3 linked regions of the Saccharomyces cerevisiae S288C genome follow. The gene in region 3 interacts genetically with the main gene of each other region. Each region holds a gene or a part of one and is shown on either strand. Other genes may lie near its edges. The genes, in order: SDH6, MPC3 and SDH1.

What was found.
Region 1: of SDH1 (region 3) and SDH6, changing one suppresses a phenotype caused by changing the other (phenotypic suppression), as found in Saccharomyces cerevisiae (one study listed by BioGRID).
Region 2: of SDH1 (region 3) and MPC3, changing one enhances a phenotype caused by changing the other (phenotypic enhancement), as found in Saccharomyces cerevisiae (one study listed by BioGRID).

The regions. Positions count from the first base shown.
Region 1 is NC_001136.10:1,230,138-1,237,943, reverse strand, and holds SDH6 (Sdh6p), read left to right. Parts: upstream 1-4,426; coding exon 4,427-4,666; downstream 4,667-7,806. Other genes in the region: RNA-binding protein YRA1, read right to left, coding at 1-335, 1,102-1,386; phenylpyruvate decarboxylase ARO10, read right to left, coding at 1,819-3,726; GTPase-activating protein RGA2, read right to left, coding at 4,748-7,777. UniProt on the Saccharomyces cerevisiae protein: Plays an essential role in the assembly of succinate dehydrogenase (SDH), an enzyme complex (also referred to as respiratory complex II) that is a component of both the tricarboxylic acid (TCA) cycle and the mitochondrial electron transport chain, and which couples the oxidation of succinate to fumarate with the reduction of ubiquinone (coenzyme Q) to ubiquinol.
Region 2 is NC_001139.9:971,859-980,021, reverse strand, and holds MPC3 (mitochondrial pyruvate carrier), read right to left. Parts: upstream 2,687-8,163; coding exon 2,246-2,686; downstream 1-2,245. Other genes in the region: SDA1 (Sda1p), read left to right, coding at 1-257; LSC2 (succinate--CoA ligase (GDP-forming) subunit beta), read left to right, coding at 703-1,986; YAP1802 (Yap1802p), read left to right, coding at 3,441-5,147; YGR240C-A (uncharacterized protein), read left to right, coding at 5,245-5,445; PFK1 (6-phosphofructokinase subunit alpha), read left to right, coding at 6,288-8,163. UniProt on the Saccharomyces cerevisiae protein: Mediates the uptake of pyruvate into mitochondria.
Region 3 is NC_001143.9:167,267-176,308, reverse strand, and holds SDH1 (succinate dehydrogenase flavoprotein subunit SDH1), read left to right. Parts: upstream 1-5,179; coding exon 5,180-7,102; downstream 7,103-9,042. Other genes in the region: DNA-directed RNA polymerase III subunit RPC25, read left to right, coding at 1-466; proteasome regulatory particle base subunit RPT1, read right to left, coding at 693-2,096; AVT3 (Avt3p), read right to left, coding at 2,448-4,526; DBR1 (RNA lariat debranching enzyme), read left to right, coding at 7,480-8,697; MCR1 (cytochrome-b5 reductase), read right to left, coding at 8,857-9,042.

The sequences.
Region 1 (7,806 bases), on a different chromosome or scaffold from region 3:
GGCTTTTCTCTCTTTGGTTTGTTTTGGGATTTTGCCATAGCAGCTTTTCTATTTGGACCCCTCTTTACTGGTCTTGGAGCGTTTCCGCCTTTTTGTGGCATAGCCTTGATCCTGTCGGCTAAACTTTTGACTGGGCGTTGGTTTGGATCAACGATTAGGTTAAGTCTCAATCTTGATCTGCCTCCATCGATTGGAGAGCCGTTAAATCTTTCAACAGCCCTTCTGGCCAATTCACCGTTTTTGAATGTGATGTTAGCCATACCAGTAGATTGGCCCCTTTCGTTATAACTCAACAAAACTCTTTGAACACCACCTACTTGAGATGCAAAAAATTCCTATAATAAAAAAAAAAAAGTTAGTCATATATCTCTATGATATAAAATCAAAGAAGGAAGGGACAATACACAAACAATCAAGGAGTTGAGAGTATTAAAAGTATACCATTGCGTAGGAAAAATAAACCCTCAAATAAACATGTACCACGATGGGTGAGTTCCTCTTTGGTTTCATTAGGTGTCTCAAATCAAATATTTTTGTAACTATCATAATAAAAAAATGAAGCGATGCACTCATATCTTTTCGAACGTTCATGAAAGACATGTTTCCCATAGCTATTTTTTGAAAATGGTGCCATTCGAAACTGAAAGCTACTCCCTCTTGAAAGGATACAAAATTAATTGATCCTTCCACAACTTCAGTATTGGATGATACGCTTATTAAAAATAGGAACTAACTATCACGGTCGAGGCGACACAATACGCCAGCTTAAAAATGTAAGATTGACAGATTAGCAGATAGTCAGATTGATTTGAGTTAACCCAGCCAATAAGAACAAACCCATTCTCAGTGGTAGCTGGTAATTCCAACCTTATAGGCCATGATTTGAAGTATTGAAAAAAATTGGTATGGTTGGCTTATGAAAACGATACTCTTTTTGTATTTTCTCTAGCGAAGTATTTCGGACTCTTTCTTCATCTCTAAAAAGAGAATTCTTGATCAAAAGCGTGTGCCATATCCTTCCTTACAAAGAATATTTCTCGTATCCACACGAGACGATGCGAGTAACTAAACAAATAGCTCTCATTTCACGTATTAACATACTCTTACAGCATCCTGCTTAATGTCCCTTGGCAAACCTTCGACGTTGACCTTGACCTCTCTAGTGGTGTCCAAGAGCTTGGCAACTCTAGCGACTGCGTTTGGAGGTGCCCTAGTATTTTTTCTGATAGGGCCTCTTCTGTTTGGAAGGCTCCTACGTTGGCTACCAACTTGCTTACCAACTCTTCTTGGACCGTTACCACGAGTACCACCGACACGGGCTCTATTACTTCCTGCTTTGTTAGAGCCAATGATTTCGTCTAAGGATTTATCTAAGTTAGCAGACATTTAGCAGATGTAGGTATTTTCTTAATATGGATTTCTTAAAGTTTCAAATAGAACGAGGGAGATTTTTTTATCTATTTGTCTTCGATAGTTTTCGGATAAAACTTCTTCTAACAAAAAAACCTACTACTAAACACACGATAGGAATGACAGAAAAAAGCGAACGGAAGAAGTGAAAAAGGATAAATTTGGCGGCCTTTTATAGTTCTTCAAGTGGTGAGCCGAAAGCCGTGGAAAAACAACACGTCTCCCCGCCCCTGCCTCGTCGCGAAAAAAAAAATACTAGCAACTGGACAAAGAACTCTGTGGTAGTGGTAAAATAGCTTTAATATACGTATTTACTTTGTAAATATAGTTACATAAGGGTTTTTTATGTGTTAATGAACAGAAAACGAACAATTGGTAGCAGTGTTTTATAATTGCGCCCACAAGTTTCTATTTTTTATTTCTTTTAAGTGCCGCTGCTTCAACCATGCACTTTAGCTGTTCGGGGAAATCCAATTCGCCTAATTTGACTTCTAAAAGTTCTATCCCGCTTCTTTTGTTTGAATTCTTAAGCTCCTCCAATTTCAGTGCTAATTTAGAGGGACATTGAATGAGAGTGCTATTAGTATACTTTCCGTCGAAGTCTCCGAATGCTTCAAATAGTTTGGTCCATTTCCAAGACATAACGTCGTTATACGACCTGGTAGGGCCCATGATGGCTCTTTCAATAGTGTAGCCGTTATTGTTCCAAATGATAACTTCTAGTGGAATATTGCACTTCAGAATGGTGCTCAGTTCTTGGATTGTCATCTGTGCTGCACCGTCACCTTCAAACAAAATTAATCTTGGCTTATAGTCCTCTTTTACGTTGCCACCATTGATGTGAGCGTTTGAGTGGTCTTGCATGGCAATTCCAACACCTAGGGCGGCAGGAAGGGCCATGCCAATGGAAAGGAAAAATCCTTGCGATATATATTTTAATTGCGAAGGAAACGCGAAATCACGAACAGAGAATTGAAAAGAGCCTGTTTCACAAACGACAACATCACCAGGGTTCAAAAATTTAGGCATCGTCTTTTGTAAGTGAACTTGTGTAATAATGCTTGATTGTCCATTGGTAGGATCTTCTAACCGCATTGTTTCGTTCGTATATTGAGTTACATTTGAATCATATTGCAAAGAAAGTTTAGAAACGTCAATGCGCTTGTATAGTTCTTTTAAAATAGGGGCAAAATTGATTCCTTTGAACATTTGCTCATTGCCCTGCCTAGTGTCCACAAGGCGAATATAATTCGGATGAAATTGAATGATTTTAGCATTTGGTTTATAAGTAAAAGTATAATGCCCATTATTAATTTCATTGATGTCGACTCCAAAATGCAAGACCAAGTCGCACAGTTCAAAATGTTCATAGACTTGTTTTAAACCTTCTTTACCATTATATTGACCCATATAAGTTGGGTTTGACTCATCAATTACAGATTTTCCCATAACAGTGGAAAAATTCCAAATCCCAGTTTTGCAGATAAGCTTGTTCAAAAAGTTACTCACACCATACCTATCAGTCAGTACGTCTCCAAGGATCGCAGGTGTTTTACTGGAATATATCCAACTAGTAATCTTGTTGATTATGTCAGACAATTGGTTTTCAGAAGGGTATACTATACAATCTTGTTGAGATATACGTGGAACATTAACCAAATTATCACATGTAACAGACATATCCGCAAAATCTGCAGGAACAAAAATATAACCAGGTTTAGAATACTTGTAAATATCGCGGATAACATTATCGACTTGGTCACATGCAGTTTCAATATCCTCCAAGTAGGCTACCGAGCAAGCGACTCTATCTTTTACCATATCATGATATACTTTATGATTTGGCCCTTTAAAATTTGAATCATGTAGCTGTGGGACCAAATGATGTAGGTTCCGATCACTAAAGTTACTTGAACGCGAATCTATGGACTTGGCCACACCAACAATGTGCAAAACTTTGACATTTTCAGCGAACGAACCGGCTATACCGTTCAAGGCGCTTAATTCACCAACGCCATACGTGGTTATTAAACAGCCAATCTTATTAGAGTAACGGGAATATCCGTCGGCCGCATAAGCGGCGTTCAGTTCATTACACGTGCCGACCCATCTTAGGCCAGCTGATTCAACACTAGGTGAATAGAGATATTCTAATAGAGATAAGTTGAAGTCACCAGGAACACCGAAAACTGATTTCGTATCGATGGACAACAATCTTTTAAATATGTATTCACCAAACGGAATTGTTGCTGATCGGTTGGAAACAAGGTGTCGTTCTTCTTGATTTACGAACTTTTCAATTGTAACAGGTGCCATGCTTAAGGGAGTTTCTTTGTTATCTTGTAAATAAACTTTACAGAAGTCGCGTCAACTTGTTTTGAGTATCAAGTTGAGAGGGTTGATCAGTTAAATATGTTTTATATCAGATTTTATGTAGTATTAATAAACGCAGAAAAAAAATGAAAGTGAGCTGCCGCTGTAGTGACGATGCAAACTAGCCCAGTTTATATCTTAAACTTTACTCAACACAATAAATAAGATGCCACTAACCTATTACATACCGACACTTACCGAAGGTATCAAAGCTCCGCCGCACAAAAGTACGACAAATGCTCAGCATGACCTCGGCAATTTTCGGTAAATGACGGCTATCCGCGGTTATCCCTCCCGGTAGGTAACCGACACTTTGGAGAGGATTCGCAAAGGCTCAAAGTAATATATGACGGCTTTTTCAAAAAATAGCCTAAGCCTACTACCAAATGTTAATAAGGAAGCTACATGAGGTGTACAAGCATCGAATTTTGGATTATCTTTTTCGCTAAGACGTTGTTGTACGCTTTCAATCCTGCTTTTTTAAATTTCGGTGGACGAACCAATCTAAAATGTAGTAAAACTGGTAGATGTTAATTAATTAACCTTGCAAAGCCGAAGAAAAAAAGGGGTTCGCCAAATTATTCTTAACAAAGATAATGTAGCTTAAACACACAAGAAGAAGAGGAGACGCAATACCAAGAGCATGCCTAAGAGATTAAGTGGGTTACAAAAAGAAGTCTTACACCTGTATAGGGCTTCCATACGAACGGCTCATACAAAACCAAAGGAAAACCAAGTTAATTTTGTGAATTATATTCATGAAGAATTTGGGAAGTATAGAAATTTGCCAAGAAAAGACTTCACCACCATTGAACACTTGTTACGGGTCGGAAACAAAAAAATTGCCACCTTTTCACACCCTGAACTGACGAATATACATTGAACTATTTTCTTACTTTATTCTTTTTTCATATGATTTCTTATTTAATCTATCCTATGTTTATTTAACTTTTGCAAATCTGTATTATGCTTGCTTAAATATGTCTCTATAGTTTCCAAGTATAAATTCCACGATATAATTCCTCTCCTTCATGTCCACAATATCTTTCTCGCCGTCAAAATCGTGGATAAGACTCGGTGCAAAGACCAACGACAAGTTATGTAAGTTCATTAAATTTCTTTCACTGCACCTTCGAACTTTGCCGATATGTGCTGCCAATACTTTCAATACTTCCTGATGCTCTACGGGTAAAATTTTGAAAATTTCAAGTAGGCTTTTGAGCACCATTTCATAAATAGTCACTTTTTGTGGTGAATCCAAAAACTTGTCGTTGTTTAATGGTAGCCTCTCAATTAGTTGGTTATTTCTAACTAGATCTATCAAGGCATCGTATATGGAAAATGATAAAACTGGATCTGGTAGTTTTCTCAAATATCGTTTTAATACGCTAGCCACTGCATGAATATCTTGATTCAGTAAAGCATTCAGTTTGGGACTTAATGTATCACTATGCAACGAATTATTCTGAGCGAATTCATTTTCGATCTCCTCAACCAAAGTCTGTGAGCCCGACTTTCTGTATAAGCCTTCCATGTTCAGGCCTATATCATCTTTTTCAATGCGATCAATGCAGCACCTGATAATTATTGGAACAGTACTTTTTTCATACGCACATCGAGCTTGTAGCGAAGATCCATATAAATGGGAACCATCAGGCGTATAATCTAATCTCTTTGGACTTGGCGACAGTGGTACTTTGCCTGGAGAAGGAAGCTCATCGTGTACTCGAATTAATTTCGGTGATGATATTTCTTTCTGTGCTATATTTGTCGTTCCGCCTGAAGATGAATTTGGCGAACGTTGCTGTGATTCTAGATCGCCTACCTGGTGATCCTTAGCACTTGAAAATATTTTCCAGAAGCGTGGTTTAGGACTGGCATTAGATATGCTCCCTTTTCTGTCGGAATTTGAACTTGGTGACTTTACAGTGATTGATGTTGCAATGTTTTCTTTTTGTTCTAAGGACTCCCGGGAAGATGCAGATTGCTTATCCTTTTCTCTTGTTAAATTGTCAACATCATTTAACAGCCTCTCTTTCGCTAATCTTAGATTTTCAACATCTTGTAATAATTTTTTCTTCGTACCTTCTAGTTCCCTCACATCTAATTTTAACTTCCTTAAAGTCAACTCAGTAAAGTAAAAGTCCTTTTCCAAGCTTGTAGCGCTTTCATCAGTAGCATCCACTTTCGTGGAATCGTCTTCCAACAATGCATTAGTGGATCTAGACGTCTGTAAGCTAGAAGATCTGTGGTGTGCGGACTCAGATGACAGAGATGGCCTCTTAAATAATGGCCCTGATTCCAAAGGCGGCGTACGGAACATTGCTATATGATGCCCCGAGCTTGAACTTGTAAATGAACCATTTATGCGTCTATTAGTGGCTGTATCATTAGAATTTTGCTTTTTGGATATACTGCCAAGGCTGCTTTGCGCTTTTTTGTGATTAAACTCCGGTACTGTAAAATTTCCATGTTGTGGTAGAGTATTGTATATTGTACTGTCACTTTGGCCTCTTGATACAGGATTTTTTTTGGCTTTTGATTTTCTTATATTTGTATGAGTAGAGGAAACACCCCAGCCAGAATGAGTGTCTGATTCCTGTATAGAAGTGCTGTGATGGGGATGCTTTGGGTCCAGCATTTCCGAAGTTTTACTTTTCAGGTTGTGAACAAAATTTTTGGACTTCAAAGAAAACGATCTTGAAAGTTTTTTGTTTGGAGAGGGTGCTACTTTTTTATGCGGCAATAAGTTATCTGCTGTTTGAGGCCTGCTGAAACTTCCATTATCAGACAAACGTAATGTCGATGAAGAGGTTGATGTTTTCATTTCTACGGTATCGGTTCTTGTAATCGGGGAGACATGATTCATAGATTTGGAAGTTGACGTTTGAATACCTTGAGATGATTTGTTATTTTCTTTCGTAGCTTCTGATAAAGTTAATGCCAGTCCATGCGGAGGTTCGACCTCTTCGTTCATTTGTACAGCCATAGGGCTGTTCAAAGGACTTGTAATTTTATCAGTGCTATTTCTGGGTGTGTTGACGATGATTTCATTCTCTTTGTTGTCTGTATCATCTTTGTCTGTCTCTTCTTTATCATAAATTGAAAAGAATCTATTCGCGTTCGAGTTCGAATTTGGGATCCTCGGATCCTTTACCACTATGGAATCTCGATTTGCTCTTTGTGGTTTTAATAGCCTATAGGTTACGTCTTCACCCATTTTGTTGATGTAGTCCTCATTATCCACCAAACTCTGCTCTTCAATGCTATTACTATCGTGTTCCAAAGTAGAGTTCAGAATGTCGTCAATAGAAACCGTCCTTGCGTGAGAAGATGTTTCCTCCCTGTCCTTGCTGTTATCATTATCATTATTGTCATTCAACGATGATTCATCTCTTTCTTGTGATACTAAAACTTGTGGAGTGAGCTGTTGATCCTCATTCGAGCTTACAAGGTTCTTACTTATTGCGGTGTTGTTTGTACTGACATCTGACTTACCATTTATTCTGGTGGGTGACAAGGGCCTTTTGACTGATCTTTCAGGAAGTTTTATGGGAAAATCTTCTTTCGATGAATTTTTTGTTTGATTTTCCAGTAATAGTTGTTTTTTTCTCAACAATTTCTCGTGACAATCCATACAACATAGTCCTCGTTTTGTCTTTGCATACTTTAAGTTCTTTATACGGTTGCTGCACCGACAGCATCTGAAACAATTGGAACAATAGGCCTCATTTGAGGAAGGCAGTATAATTGCTGTGTCGTCTATTTTATCGCCACAATTTGTACATTTATCTGAGCAGTCGTAACAAATTAATGTACCTATATCCAGAACCAAAAAGTCTGAATCTGCGTTCAATTTTTTGTCACATTTGTAGCATGTAAAGCACTGGTCATGCCATTTTTTGCTTTCTAATTCGTATACCTGGCTAGACGCGATTGATTTATTGCACCTCACACATAAAGACGATTGGTCATTAATAGGGTCAGCTGACATATTTTTTTCATCAAAATCTCCTTGCTCTT
Region 2 (8,163 bases), on a different chromosome or scaffold from region 3:
CTATCAAATACAAACAGTCTCGTGAGGAAAGATTACAAAAGGTGTTGGAAGGTCGTGAAGGTAGAGACAAATTTGGTAGTAGACGCGGTAAGCGTGACAACATGCGTTCTACTACCAACAGAGAAAAAGAAAGAAGGAAGAACTTTGTTATGTCTATTCACAAGAGATCTGTTAGAGGTAAACAAAAAATGTCACTACGAGACAAGCAAAAAGTGTTACGTGCACACATCACCAAACAAAAGAAGAAGGGGTATTAGACGACATCGTAGCCATATTAATATATACATACATATACACAGATACATTCATCTCTCCAACTGTATGAGGACTTCTCTACCTTGAATGGAACACCAAAGCCAGGTAGATACTAAAAAAAACTCTTTTTATGTCTTGGTACAGAGAAAAATGCTCCAACTGGTATCGATTATGTGTTCATCGGGAATTCTCGGCTTTTCCCCGCAGCGGCGGAGTGAGTATTCTAAAAGTTGGTTGGCCTTTCAATTGCCGCGTAGTCAACATCTTTGAGGTTTTATATAAGATCGACGTTTTCCTTATCAGCACTTTGACGTTTTCTCTCGAAAAATAACAGTGACTATAGAGCGATAGTCCAGTTTTTTTGTAACTGACTTTTAGGTAGTTAGGATTAATAAGGATTGAGTCAATACAATCGAAAAAAATACTGAAGCATTGCAACTGAACAAAATGTACTCAAGAAAATCCTTATCCCTAATTTCAAAGTGTGGGCAATTAAGCAGGCTAAACGCGCAAGCTGCTTTACAAGCAAGGAGACACTTGTCAATTCATGAATACAGGTCAGCTCAGTTATTGAGGGAATACGGTATTGGTACTCCAGAAGGATTTCCAGCGTTCACTCCCGAAGAGGCTTTCGAAGCAGCCAAGAAATTAAACACTAACAAACTGGTCATCAAGGCGCAGGCATTGACCGGAGGTAGAGGTAAAGGTCACTTCGACACCGGTTACAAAAGCGGTGTTCACATGATCGAAAGTCCTCAGCAGGCAGAGGATGTTGCAAAAGAAATGCTCAATCATAACCTGATTACTAAACAGACGGGAATAGCGGGGAAGCCAGTATCTGCTGTATATATAGTGAAAAGAGTAGATACAAAGCATGAAGCTTATTTATCTATTCTAATGGACAGACAAACCAAGAAACCGATGATCATTGCGTCCAGTCAAGGTGGTATGAATATTGAAGAGGTGGCTGAGAGAACCCCAGATGCTATAAAGAAATTTTCAATTGAAACTTCAAAGGGATTGAGCCCACAAATGGCCAAGGATGTTGCCAAGAGTCTCGGTTTCAGTCCCGATGCACAAGACGAGGCAGCAAAAGCTGTTTCCAATTTGTATAAAATATTCATGGAAAGGGATGCTACACAAGTGGAGATTAACCCTTTGAGTGAAATTGAACATGATCCAACCCACAAAATCATGTGTACAGACGCCAAATTTGGGTTTGATGATAACGCATCATTCAGACAGGAAAAGATATATTCCTGGAGGGACTTATCACAAGAAGATCCTGATGAAGTTAAGGCAAAGAAGTATGATTTGAATTTTGTTAAGTTGAAGGGTAACATTGGATGTTTAGTCAATGGTGCTGGTTTGGCTATGGCTACTATGGATGTCATCAAATTAAATGGAGGCGATCCTGCGAACTTTTTGGATTGTGGTGGTGGTGCCACCCCTGAGACCATCAAACAAGGTTTCGAATTGATCTTATCCAATAAGAACGTAGATGCAATTTTCGTCAATATTTTCGGCGGTATCGTAAGATGTGACTATGTTGCCCTGGGGCTGGTAGAAGCCGCCAGAGAACTAGAAGTTAGGGTCCCCATTGTGGCACGTTTGCAAGGTACCAAAGTAGAAGAAGGCCGCGACATTATCAATAAGTCAGGCGTGAAGATTTATTCGTTTGATGAATTAGATCCTGCTGCTAAAAAGGTCGTTGAATTGACCCAAAATTAAGCTTCTCGAGAAAAACAAAAGAGTTAATAATAAAGTATATATGCTTTTTTACTATTAATAAAGTTTCTTATTTTCCCTACATGTATACATACATATAAATATACTCTTTTGGAAAAAATTTCTTTTTTTTTTTTTTAATTTTTTTATATTTTTCCATCTTTTGATGTAATATAGAGGTTATATAATGAAAGAATATATAAGAGGTCATAAAAAATCATTAAAAAAATGCGAGTTCAGGAACATATTATCGTTTACGTAATCAGTGCGTTATTGGCGGATTAGTACCGATCACACCTTTGTTCATCGATGTGGATGCAGTTTGCTTTGCTGCGACGGCTGCAGGAGTCTCCCCTTTTATTATGTAGTGAATAACCTGTTTAAAAGAATCACCGTTCCGTATCCTAAAGTTAGCAATTCTTGTTAGATGGTAGCCTGCAGTGCAACCCAGGAAAAAATTGACGGAAGCTAACAGATAGTTCTTGGGCTTGATGACAAACGACCAACGCGTCCAAATCAGTGCCGTCGCTAATAAAGATAAATTTTGTGCTCCTGATACCTTCTCAACAGGCCTCTTAATATCATTTAGCCCTGCGAAGACCAGCCCCCACTTCAAAGTTGGGGCCCAGAAGTGTACTGTTTTAGGGCCTGTTTCACTATTCCAAAATCTTCTAAAGGCAAAATTAAAAGCTGATGCTGACATTAAAAATATAGGTTTGTGTTTCTATGTGTCTTGAATGCTTATGCGTATAGTCTTAAAGACTGATTGTATTCTTTTTTTTTATATGAAGTATTTCCGCCGTAATGAAAGGGAAAAGAAAATTTTCTCCAATACTCCAATTGCAACGCACCATATTATCCGGGAGAATACACGCACGCAGCCGCATATATATATATGATGGCCTTAGTTTTGTTTGAGCCTTTCGGTTTTGCGTGACCAAACCAGGGAGCGGCTCGCTTGACCCGCCCACGGAATGACGTAAAGCCGTTAATAGCCGATTGGCGGGAGAAATAAAAGCGGGGCACTCCCAAGATGAGGGGTAATCGGGGTAATAATATCCAATCAAGGAGGAAAAGGGCCAAATGTTACCCGACTATCCAAACTGCAGGGTAACCTTTATTTTTTCTTTTCTTTTACTCCTACCATTTTTTTTTTCAGATTTTTCCCAGTATGGCTTTGTTTTCATTTTGCTTTGGTGGAGGGATAGATTAAGTTTGCAGCTGCGTAGAAAAGTTTCTTTTCTACATTCGAGGAAAAAGTCGACTTATTAGTCTGGTTAACTTGTTATTAGGGCTTCTTGCTTGAGTTATAATTTTAGAAGGAGAAAAAATAAATCTGTAGCAGGAGTACCAATTTGCTACGCTTGCTAACATCTACGAGAGTAACAATATCAAGCATACAAGCGCGACTGTCTCGGCTACCCCTATAATAGATATAGAGGCGTGTTTGTGAAACAATGTCTTCATTATATACTAAGTTGGTTAAAGGGGCGACCAAAATAAAGATGGCCCCTCCAAAGCAAAAATATGTGGACCCTATTCTCTCGGGCACTTCGAGCGCAAGAGGATTGCAAGAGATTACCCACGCATTGGATATAAGGTTGTCTGATACAGCCTGGACCATTGTTTATAAGGCATTGATTGTGTTGCATCTGATGATACAACAAGGCGAAAAAGATGTCACGCTAAGGCACTATTCCCATAATTTGGATGTTTTCCAATTGAGAAAGATTTCGCATACTACTAAGTGGTCTTCCAATGATATGAGGGCTTTGCAGAGATACGACGAATACCTAAAAACACGTTGTGAAGAGTATGGCAGGCTAGGTATGGATCACCTACGAGACAATTACTCCTCGCTAAAGCTGGGCAGTAAGAACCAGCTTTCAATGGATGAAGAGCTAGATCATGTTGAATCATTGGAAATTCAAATTAATGCCTTGATAAGGAATAAATACTCTGTTTCAGATTTAGAAAACCATTTGTTATTGTATGCATTCCAATTGTTAGTACAAGATTTACTAGGTCTGTACAATGCTCTTAATGAAGGTGTCATTACACTTTTAGAATCATTCTTCGAATTGTCCATTGAGCACGCAAAAAGAACACTGGATCTCTATAAGGATTTCGTGGATATGACAGAATATGTTGTTAGATACCTAAAAATAGGAAAAGCTGTCGGTTTGAAAATCCCCGTTATCAAACATATTACTACAAAGTTAATTAACTCCCTTGAGGAGCATTTGAGAGAGGAAACAAAAAGACAAAGAGGTGAACCTTCTGAACCGCAGCAAGATAGAAAACCATCTACGGCCATTAGCTCTACCAGTAGTCACAATAACAACAGCAATGACAAGAATAAGTCTATAGCGCAGAAGAAACTGGAACAGATAAGGGAACAAAAAAGACTGCTGGAGCAACAATTACAAAACCAACAGTTGCTCATTTCCCCCACGGTCCCACAAGATGCTTACAACCCATTTGGATCACAACAGCAAGATTTAAATAATGACACCTTTTCATTCGAACCAACCCAGCCACAAATGACCGCTCAAGTCCCTCAACCAACTGCTAACCCCTTCTTGATACCGCAACAACAGCAACAGGCTTTACAGTTGACATCTGCGTCTACAATGCCACAACCAAGTGAGATACAGATTACTCCAAATTTGAATAATCAACAAACTGGGATGTATGCTTCTAACCTTCAATACACCCCAAATTTCACCGGCTCAGGGTTCGGCGGATACACGACCACCGAGAACAATGCAATTATGACCGGCACTTTAGATCCAACAAAAACGGGGTCTAACAACCCATTTTCGCTAGAAAATATTGCCAGAGAACAGCAACAACAAAATTTCCAAAACTCCCCAAATCCTTTTACCCTCCAACAAGCACAAACCACCCCGATTCTTGCTCATAGTCAAACAGGTAATCCATTTCAGGCTCAAAACGTGGTGACATCACCAATGGGCACATACATGACGAATCCCGTGGCCGGTCAACTTCAGTATGCCTCTACTGGTGCGCAGCAGCAACCACAAATGATGCAGGGTCAGCAAACAGGGTATGTTATGGTTCCCACTGCGTTTGTCCCCATCAATCAACAACAGCAACAACAGCAGCATCAGCAAGAAAATCCTAACTTAATAGATATATAGTGAGCGATAGATACTACAGTTTTTTGTTCTCAACAGGCCGTCCTTGCATATTATAAACTCTGATTTTTAGGTAATCCCTTCCACCTTTCTATATTTTATGATACTATCCAAACATGTAAATTTTACGTACCATACATATAACCTCATCTATAATTTTTACCCTGATCTAACTAACTTTGGCATGCCTGGTTCAATCTACGGGTTACAGTCATCGTTGAAAACGATGGAAAAACATGTCGAGATTCCTCAATCCATACACCATTATAGTCCGTTTTATCAGCTTCCACTAATTTTTTAAATCTCAGTTTCTTCTTGAAATTTAGCATCGTGCATGGGATAGCGGCTAGTAAAAAAGAAAATTAATATCTCATTAACAAAGTTATTGTACATAATCCGGTACAATATTCTTCAATGTACTCTCTAATATCGAGCACACTGGCAATATTCATGCACACATTCGCCTAATGCTGACGAATGCTTAATCAGTGCAATTACTGCCACCCTCTTGATATGTGGGCTAAATCCTTTAGGACCTGTAAAAAATGCAATCACGTTTTCACATTTTTTTTTTTCTTGCGGAATTGCGGAATTTCCCAGTTGGCAGCGTTATCCGATTTGAGATCGACTTGCATCAACCTTTGAAAAATATAAGGATGAGAAAGTGAAATCGGTTTTTTTTTTCCATTGTCGTCATCAACATGATTTTTTAAATAAATAAATACGATTTTTTATTTTTTTTCCCTTCTTTGTTTTTGTTTTGCTTATTCCCATCTTCATTATTAAATTCTTCCGCTCTTAATAAAGGAGTTTTTTTATTATCTTCTTGTGTAATCATCCTTTTTCTTTAATTTTCTTCCTTTTCTTTTTCTCTTTACTGGTTTTTTTACTTCTTTATTCTCAACCATCTAAAGAATATTATTGCTTTCTACCAATAAAATCTGTTAATTCTATTTGGATTGTCGTCTACTCAAGTCTCGCCTAGTAAATAAACGATAAACAAATTTGAAGTAAGAATAACAATATAGGGAGAGAAATTTTTCTATTTTTAATTTCGAAACAGGTACCAAAAAATCTAAGTTCACTTTAGCACTATTTGGGAAAGCTTTTATATAAAAAATCTGAAACAAAATCATATCAAAGATGCAATCTCAAGATTCATGCTACGGTGTTGCATTCAGATCTATCATCACAAATGATGAAGCTTTATTCAAGAAGACCATTCACTTTTATCACACTCTAGGATTTGCAACTGTGAAAGATTTCAACAAATTCAAACATGGTGAAAATAGCTTACTATCTTCAGGGACTTCCCAAGATTCCTTGAGAGAAGTTTGGTTAGAATCTTTCAAGTTGAGTGAGGTTGATGCTTCTGGGTTCCGTATACCACAACAAGAAGCTACTAACAAGGCTCAAAGTCAAGGTGCTCTATTAAAGATTCGTTTAGTGATGTCTGCTCCAATCGATGAAACTTTCGACACCAACGAAACCGCCACAATCACTTATTTCTCTACTGATTTGAACAAGATTGTCGAGAAATTCCCAAAACAAGCCGAAAAATTGTCCGATACCTTAGTGTTTTTGAAAGATCCAATGGGCAACAACATCACCTTCTCAGGCTTAGCTAATGCAACCGATTCCGCTCCAACTTCCAAAGATGCTTTCTTAGAAGCTACCTCCGAAGACGAAATCATCTCTAGAGCTTCTTCCGATGCTTCTGACTTACTAAGACAAACATTGGGCTCTTCTCAAAAGAAGAAGAAGATTGCTGTCATGACTTCTGGTGGTGATTCTCCAGGTATGAATGCCGCTGTTCGTGCCGTTGTTCGTACAGGTATACATTTCGGCTGTGATGTTTTTGCTGTTTACGAAGGTTACGAAGGTTTACTAAGAGGCGGTAAATATTTAAAGAAAATGGCTTGGGAAGATGTCAGAGGTTGGTTAAGTGAAGGTGGTACTTTGATTGGTACTGCTCGTTCTATGGAATTCAGAAAGCGTGAGGGTCGTAGACAAGCTGCAGGCAATTTAATTTCGCAAGGTATTGACGCTTTGGTTGTTTGTGGTGGTGATGGTTCTTTAACCGGTGCTGATCTTTTCAGACACGAATGGCCATCTTTGGTTGATGAATTGGTTGCAGAAGGTAGATTCACTAAAGAAGAAGTCGCCCCATACAAGAATTTGTCCATTGTTGGTCTTGTCGGTTCCATCGATAATGATATGTCTGGTACTGACTCTACCATTGGTGCTTATTCTGCTTTGGAAAGAATCTGTGAAATGGTTGACTACATTGATGCCACCGCTAAATCCCACTCCCGTGCCTTTGTTGTTGAAGTTATGGGTAGACATTGTGGTTGGTTGGCCTTGATGGCTGGTATTGCTACCGGTGCCGATTACATTTTTATTCCAGAAAGAGCTGTTCCTCACGGAAAATGGCAGGACGAATTGAAGGAAGTGTGCCAAAGACACAGAAGTAAGGGTAGAAGAAATAACACAATTATTGTCGCTGAAGGTGCTTTAGATGATCAATTAAACCCTGTTACTGCCAATGACGTCAAAGATGCTTTGATTGAATTGGGTCTAGACACCAAGGTAACCATTCTAGGTCACGTTCAAAGAGGTGGTACAGCTGTTGCTCATGACAGATGGTTAGCTACTCTACAAGGTGTCGATGCTGTTAAGGCCGTTCTGGAATTTACCCCTGAAACTCCTTCTCCATTAATTGGTATTTTAGAAAACAAGATAATTAGAATGCCATTGGTTGAATCTGTGAAGTTGACTAAATCTGTTGCCACTGCCATTGAAAACAAAGATTTCGATAAGGCAATTTCTTTAAGAGACACAGAATTTATTGAACTTTACGAAAACTTCTTATCCACTACCGTTAAAGATGATGGTTCCGAATTATTGCCAGTATCTGACAGACTAAACATTGGTATTGTCCATGTTGGTGCCCCATCTGCTGCTTTGAACGCTGCCACCCGTGCCGCAACTCTATACTGTTTGTCTCACGGCCATAAAC
Region 3 (9,042 bases):
ATTGAAGCCAGGCGATGGATCATCCTATATTAACGTTACATTTCGAGCCGTTGTTTTCAAACCGTTTCTAGGTGAGATAGTAACTGGATGGATTTCTAAATGTACAGCAGAAGGCATAAAAGTTTCACTGTTAGGTATATTTGATGACATTTTTATCCCACAAAATATGTTATTCGAAGGGTGCTATTATACCCCTGAAGAAAGTGCATGGATTTGGCCCATGGATGAAGAGACGAAACTATATTTCGATGTAAATGAAAAAATTAGATTCAGAATCGAAAGAGAAGTTTTTGTTGATGTGAAGCCAAAATCACCCAAAGAACGAGAATTGGAGGAAAGAGCTCAATTAGAGAATGAGATTGAGGGTAAGAATGAAGAAACTCCTCAAAACGAAAAACCTCCAGCATATGCCCTATTAGGTAGTTGTCAAACTGATGGCATGGGACTCGTTAGTTGGTGGGAATGATAGATAAGGACGCCACTGACTTCAATAAAACATTTAATAATAATAGTAACAGTAATAATGAGGATAATAATATATAATAAACGTGAATTTTCTTTAGCATTATATACGCTAATTCTTTCTCTATTTGAGGGGATACTCTCGTATCCTTTTTATCTCGATAGTTGTAGTTGTACTTGTTGTTTTTATTAACCCTTCTCATAATATATAATAAAAAAGTACATTGACGTCAATTATATTGCATATAACGCGATGTGGAACTAAACTTCTTGTATCCGCTAATAACTTTATCAACAGCCTTCAGGAAATCCTTTTCAGTAGCCACCTTTCTTCTTGCTCTAATGGCAAACATACCGGCTTCTGTGCAAACAGATCTTAATTCTGCACCGGTAGAGTTTGGACACAGTCTGGAGATAAGTTCCCATCTGATGCCACGTTCCACACTCATTGATTTAGAGTGAATACGGAAGATATTTGCACGACCTTCCAAGTCAGGTAATGAAAACTCTACCTTACGATCAATTCTACCGGGTCTCAATAAAGCTGGATCTAAAGTGTTGGGCCTATTGGTGGCAAACATCACTTTAATGTTACCACGAGGGTCAAACCCGTCTAACTGTGTAATCAGTTCTAACATAGTTCTTTGAACTTCATTATCACCACCAGCACCATCATCAAAACGAGCACCACCAACAGCGTCGATTTCATCGAAGAATATAATGCAAGCCTTTTTGGTACGAGCCATTTCAAATAATTCTCTAACCATACGAGCACCTTCACCGACATATTTTTGCACTAGCTCAGACCCAATGACCCTAATAAAAGTTGCATCAGTTCTATTAGCAACAGCACGAGCACATAATGTCTTACCAGTACCAGGTGGCCCATATAATAAGATACCCTTTGGTGGATCAATACCAAGAGTAGCAAATCTTTCTGGAGATAATAAGGGCAGCTCGACAACTTCTCTCAGCTTTTCAATTTGGTCTTTACAGCCACCGACATCGCTATAAGTAACGTCAGGCTTTTCTTCAACGGTCATCATAGTAACTGATGGGTCAATCCTTGGAGGCAATGGAAGTTCAATATTATATTTCGACCTATCGACACCTACACGCATACCTTCTTCTATATCTGTTGGAGAAACACGTTCACCTAATCCGACGACAAATTTGGCAATTTGCTTAAGATTTATCACGTACTTGGCATCTTCATCGTCTTCGTCTGCATCAGTAGACTGTTGATTGCTATTACTATTGCTATTGCCGCTGTTATTATTATCTGTCGTAGTTTCGTCACTTTCACCATTCCCCTTAATGATCTTCGTGCAACGAGCGACTTGTAAGGGATGTTCTTCGCCCAGTCTCTGCCTATCACCCATAATATCCCATAGATGGGAGGGTGCTAACCCTGTATCGCTTTCTTTCACACCGGCCTTTTCTTTGATTCTCGCTTCAATGTCTTTTAAGTCATTCTCAGTTTGCTTTAATTTGGCTGCGTATGGAGCTGCACCGTATGATTTTAAGACTTGAATGTCACCTTCTGTTAAGGGTACGATCTTGTCATCATCAGGTTTTTTATCATCGTCTTCCAAAGGTGCCTTGTATTTTTCCCAGTCTTCTTTTGGTGGCATTCCGTATAGTTCCTAACTTCCTTGATTTATTACGATGGTTCAAAAAAATATCTCAATTGAATATTGCTTTGAATTCTCATCTCCTTGGAAAATACTGTATATACCCAGTTCTTTGTATAGTAAGCTGCATGCTAGTTTAGTTTTCGGGTGGCAAAATTCGGTAATCCTATTCACTATACCTTTTCCTCTCGTCCGGGTAAACTCAGCCATACCAAATTGACAAGGATAGTACATTTATGCTAATCATAATTAAAACAAGGTATGTGTGTTCCAGATGCATATAGATAACGAGTCATATATAAATATATATATATGTGTCTGTACATGATGTACTCGGTCAAAAATGGCGGATTACTGGCTCCACATTTTAATCGTCTGCCATGACGTGTAGGCCATGACAGCAACTCCAAATACTATGACGATTAAATCTAAAAGAAGCCTGGCTCTCGAGGTTCCAGATAAGATGGACGCCTTATAGTGCAACAATGGCGGGTATATGTAGATCAATGGGATACACGCGAAGGAGCCTACCAGTGATACAAATTTGTCCAAATCGTTGGCGCCTACCCAAGCGAGGATAGATGTCAGGACGACAATAGCGCAACGGAAATAGTTTTTCAACCATTTGACTTTCGGGTTGTATTTACCAGATGCATTTGAGGGAAAAGTCCAGTTTTCCAAAATACGTATCGCGGGAAATAGCTGCAACGGCGTGGATAACAAAATGGCTAATGCATACAGTAATTGAACAGTGAGAGTATAGGAAGTGTCCTGCGGAAAATTCAATAAAACAACAGTTTTCACGTCAGATCCAAAAGCGGCATAGCATAAGAGACCACATGATATGAAAATCACTGCCACGATACACATCACCGCGGACAACGATGGCCGGAAATGCTTCGGGTGTTTCATTGACTCCTGAATGGGGATAAGTAGGCCTATACCTTCAAAGGTGAATATGGCGGTACCGATGAACAACGACCAGTCCGCTTTATTGAACATAAGCATTGTATCGGATGCGACACCATTAACAGCAATATAATAAATGGAGTAAACGTAAACATAAACCAATCCCAGTAGAATAAATAGATCTGCTATTAACGCGGTCCCACTTAACTTGGCTATGTTTCTTGTCAAAGATAGTGGGACAAAGATGAGTACTTGTGCAAAGATATAGGTGGCTAGACTGATGCTGCCCGGTTTCAAATGGAAGAAATTTTCAGAAAAGACCTGCAAATTAGTTGCAGTGAAAACAGTGTATGCAGCAGAAAACCCGATTTGTGACAAGGCGATAGACGAAAGAATGGCAAATTTCATTTTGGGCCCATATAGTATACGACCCATGTCACCGTACCCATCTACGCCTACTTTGTCCTTGGTGGTAATCAATGATACGAAACATCCATAAGAAATGAGGGCACACGAGAGTAGACAAAGGGCGCTAAATCCCCAACCACCGTTATGGAAAGCCTTTGGTAGGAAAAGCACACCTGTCCCAACAAATGACTTTAACAAGAGCAGCACCGCCTTTACCGTAGATGATTTGTGAGGATGGCGCCCGTGTTCACGAGAAACTAGCTGGGTGCTTTCCGTTTCCAAAGCTTCCTCCTCTGGCTCCTCTTCAGTTTCTTCCTCCTCCTCCTCTTCTTCCGATAAATCTTCACCAGCGAAGTGGCCATACAAGGTCAAAAATTCAATAAAGTTCCTGGTGAAAAAATTCGGTATGGGCGCATCAACGTTATGTTTCCTGCGCTTCTGTATTATAAAAGATCTTCTGAATCCACCAGGAGCCCTGATTTCTTCGTGCGTCATCGGTGCGGGCGCCAGGCCTATTGCCGCTAGAGGATTCCCATTCGCCTCCGAGTTGTTGTTAAGGTGAGAGGAAGATGCTATAGAAGCGGCAGAAAAGCTCATAGACCTTTTACGATTCGAGAATGAGGGCGCTTGTGAAGGTATTGAGGTGGAAAGTGCAGGTTGACTTGGGTACTGATACTGCGATGGTGATGAAGGATGGTCGTTTGTCCACTTATACAGATCTCTTGTAATGTCTCCGCCTTGCAATTGTAGGCTGTTACTCGGGTTTCTTATCAAGTGGCGTGCCACGGCATCTACCACATGTGGCTCAGGGTTATTTATGCTCACTTCAAGCGTGCCATTGTTACAGGAAGTGTGCGACGCGTCGGGTACGCTAGCATGCACCGCTTCATTGTTCACAAGCAGCGGCGGCTTTTTTAGCAAACCACCTGTAGTTCCACTAGATTTTCTACTTCTGCTTCTACTTCTACTATTACCGTTGCTATTGCCACCGTTGCCGTCCGTTAAAGGTGAGCCAGACGCATGCGAGATTCCTGTACTGCCTCCGTTGTTATTTTTTTTGTTGTTGTTGCTCTGCGTTCTTCCAGAGCCACTTGAAACCTCTTTTCCATTCATATCCGCGATGCAATCCCTTATACGCTTCTTAATAAACTTTGCTTCCCACTCTTTCACTACTGACCATCGATCCTTCTTATTTCATAGCCTCACGAGCACAAATGATAATACGAGAAAAAGGCCCGACCGGGTAACCAACCCTTTTACTATCTCTCGCTCTACCTTTAGTAATAATGTCGTCTATATAAGGATTTACTCATACAGTAGTCCAAAATATACCTTTCCGTGCTAAAAGTAGCTCCCAAAAGTAGCGGAGGTGAGGATCATCCTCTATTGCCAGGTACCAAGCTCGCTGGAAAGTCGTTATGGAGTCACGGCTTTGAGGGCGGGGGTGGACCAATCACAGCGCAGAACGCGGCGCCGAGCAAGCGCTGGACCAAGGGATCCGGGCCTCTTCTATTGGTTGTTTGTTTGCTCAAACCCGTTATATATTCAGGCATCCTCGACTCTAACCTTTTGCCACGTCGAGGCGGCTTGAAGCTTAAATAGCACTAATAAACTAGTAGACACATTATAACTAACCAGTAGTATACTTTGCACTTTCGATATTCTTTTCACTAATCTCCTCCCCAACCCCTTATTGAAGATAAAAAGAAAGAAAGAAAGAAAGAAAAAAATCCAATTTCATAGTACGAAGAAGAACGAGAATAAAGATGCTATCGCTAAAAAAATCAGCGCTCTCCAAGTTGACTTTGCTCAGAAACACAAGAACATTTACATCGTCAGCTTTGGTGCGCCAAACGCAGGGCTCTGTAAACGGTTCCGCGTCCAGATCTGCAGACGGGAAGTACCACATAATAGATCACGAGTATGACTGTGTGGTAATCGGTGCCGGTGGTGCCGGCCTTAGAGCGGCCTTTGGTCTTGCCGAGGCGGGCTACAAGACTGCTTGTATATCCAAGCTTTTCCCCACCAGATCCCACACTGTTGCTGCTCAGGGTGGTATCAATGCCGCTCTGGGAAATATGCACAAGGATAACTGGAAATGGCATATGTACGATACTGTGAAAGGATCTGATTGGCTAGGTGACCAGGACTCCATCCATTACATGACCAGGGAAGCGCCCAAATCGATCATTGAACTGGAACACTATGGTGTTCCTTTTTCAAGAACTGAAAACGGTAAGATCTACCAAAGAGCCTTTGGTGGTCAGACCAAGGAGTACGGTAAGGGTGCTCAGGCCTATAGAACATGCGCTGTCGCAGACAGGACAGGACATGCTCTTTTACACACGCTTTATGGCCAAGCTTTAAGACATGACACACATTTCTTTATTGAGTACTTTGCCCTCGATCTGTTGACCCATAATGGCGAGGTCGTTGGTGTCATCGCTTATAATCAGGAAGACGGTACCATCCACAGATTCAGAGCACACAAGACCATTATTGCCACTGGTGGCTATGGTAGAGCATACTTCTCTTGTACCTCTGCTCACACATGTACGGGTGACGGTAATGCCATGGTTTCGCGTGCTGGTTTCCCCTTGCAAGATTTAGAGTTTGTTCAATTCCATCCTTCAGGTATATATGGGTCTGGTTGCTTAATCACTGAAGGTGCTCGTGGTGAAGGTGGTTTTTTGGTTAATTCTGAAGGTGAAAGATTCATGGAACGTTACGCTCCTACGGCCAAGGATCTAGCTTGTAGAGATGTCGTTTCCAGAGCAATCACCATGGAGATCAGAGAAGGCAGAGGTGTTGGTAAGAAAAAGGACCACATGTACTTACAATTGAGCCATCTACCTCCGGAAGTTCTAAAGGAAAGATTGCCAGGTATCTCTGAAACAGCAGCCATTTTTGCTGGTGTAGACGTCACCAAGGAACCTATTCCCATTATTCCTACCGTCCACTATAACATGGGTGGTATTCCCACGAAGTGGAATGGTGAGGCATTAACCATTGATGAAGAAACTGGCGAAGACAAGGTTATTCCCGGTTTAATGGCTTGTGGTGAAGCCGCTTGTGTTTCTGTCCATGGTGCCAATAGATTAGGTGCCAATTCCTTGTTGGATCTTGTTGTCTTTGGTCGTGCTGTTGCCCATACGGTTGCTGACACTTTACAGCCTGGGTTGCCACACAAACCACTACCTTCTGATTTGGGTAAAGAATCCATCGCAAACTTGGATAAACTAAGAAATGCTAATGGTTCAAGATCTACGGCAGAAATTAGAATGAATATGAAACAAACTATGCAAAAGGATGTTTCCGTCTTTAGAACACAATCATCTTTAGATGAAGGTGTTCGGAACATTACTGCAGTAGAGAAGACCTTTGATGATGTGAAGACGACCGATAGATCAATGATCTGGAATTCTGACTTGGTTGAAACTCTGGAGCTACAGAACTTATTAACCTGTGCCTCCCAAACAGCTGTTTCCGCTGCTAATAGAAAGGAATCCCGTGGTGCTCATGCAAGAGAGGATTATCCAAATAGAGATGACGAACATTGGATGAAGCATACATTATCCTGGCAAAAGGACGTCGCTGCCCCAGTGACTTTGAAATACAGAAGGGTTATCGATCACACTTTGGACGAAAAGGAATGTCCTTCCGTACCTCCAACTGTAAGAGCCTACTAATTTGAACCTCATTGTATTTTACGGAAAAGAATATCATACTCTTCTTTAATTGCACTTTTTTTGTGCGTTTGCACTTTTTTACCACTGACTCACTAATTTGTATATATACCTATTAATATACATTTACATAAAGTTTCTTCTTATACATACTCTATTTATTTAGTTATTTATTAACTTACTATTTATTTATTTATTTATTTATTTATTTATTACTTTCAATTTTTTATCGAGGCATTTCCTTAGTTCTCCAATTTTTTTTCTCATTAGCCAGATGTGTGTTTTTCTGGCCCTCACAAAAAATGAGCAGGAGAAAGTCATATGGCGAACGTAAATATGTAACTAAAAATTAAGATGGGCAGACATTTATCATTTTGCTTATGACTAAATTGCGAATTGCTGTACAAGGGTGCTGTCATGGTCAGCTAAACCAAATTTATAAAGAAGTGTCACGAATCCATGCGAAGACTCCCATCGATCTATTAATTATTCTTGGAGATTTTCAAAGTATTCGTGATGGTCAGGATTTTAAGTCAATAGCCATACCACCAAAATATCAAAGACTCGGTGATTTCATATCATACTACAATAATGAGATTGAAGCCCCAGTCCCTACTATTTTTATTGGCGGTAATCATGAATCGATGAGACATTTAATGCTTCTGCCACATGGTGGTTATGTAGCAAAGAACATTTTTTATATGGGATACTCTAACGTTATATGGTTTAAAGGCATAAGGATAGGTTCATTGAGCGGGATATGGAAAGAGTGGGATTTCAATAAGCAACGACCAGATTGGAATGACCTAGAAAATAACAATTGGAAAGCTAACATAAGAAATCTGTATCATGTAAGAATTTCTGATATTGCTCCTCTTTTTATGATCAAGCATCGTATTGATATTATGCTGAGCCACGATTGGCCCAATGGAGTCGTTTATCATGGCGATACTAAGCACTTGTTGAAGCTTAAGCCTTTTTTTGAGCAAGATATTAAAGAGGGAAAACTAGGCAGCCCAGTGACCTGGCAACTACTAAGAGATTTGCGGCCTCAATGGTGGTTGAGCGCCCATTTGCATGTCAGGTTCATGGCCTCCATTAAGCATAATAAAAGAAGCCACGAACCGCCTAATAAGTCAACTTCAAAGACAAAAAAAAACAATAATGAAATAGATTTGGATTTATCCAGTGACGAGGACGAAAGGTCTGGTATTATGAATTGCCAAGAAGAGAATGAGTATGATTCCAAATACGGCGAGACACGGTTCTTGGCGTTGGACAAGTGCCTGCCAAGAAGACGTTGGTTAGAAATTCTGGAAATAGAACCGGATACATCGCATGCTTCGTGGAAGGACGAGAATCACCGTATGTTCTGGGATCCTGAATTTATCAATAATTTGGTAATTTGTCAAAAAAATAAGAATCTCCTAAGCAATAAACCGTTTAATAGCGTCAATTGGATAGAACTGTCTCAATCTAATAGAGAGGAAGGAAGGGATATTGATTGGGAAAATTATGCCATTCCTGCATACACCTTAGATATTCAGAAAGATGAAGTACGACAAACTAAAGCATTTATCTCTAAATTCATGACTTGAGAGATATTTCTATTACGAATGCAGACGGAATTAGAGCTTAAAGCCAAGCCTTCTTGAGAGAATTTTTAGTCATACACATGAATATATATATATTTTTTATATATTTACTAATTTGAACGATCCGAAATTAAAAAAAATATCAATTACTTTCCTCCATGCTTAAAATTTGAAAACTTGGTCCTTGGAGTAGCCCAAATTGTTCAAGATACCGATCAATTCACCTTGGTCCTTAGGTGACTTCTTCTCACCTGAGTAAGCGTTCATAAATGGTGGGGGACCGCAGACAAACAAATGTGTGCTTTCCTTTGGACCTGGAACATGCTCCTGAATAAAATCTTTGGAGAT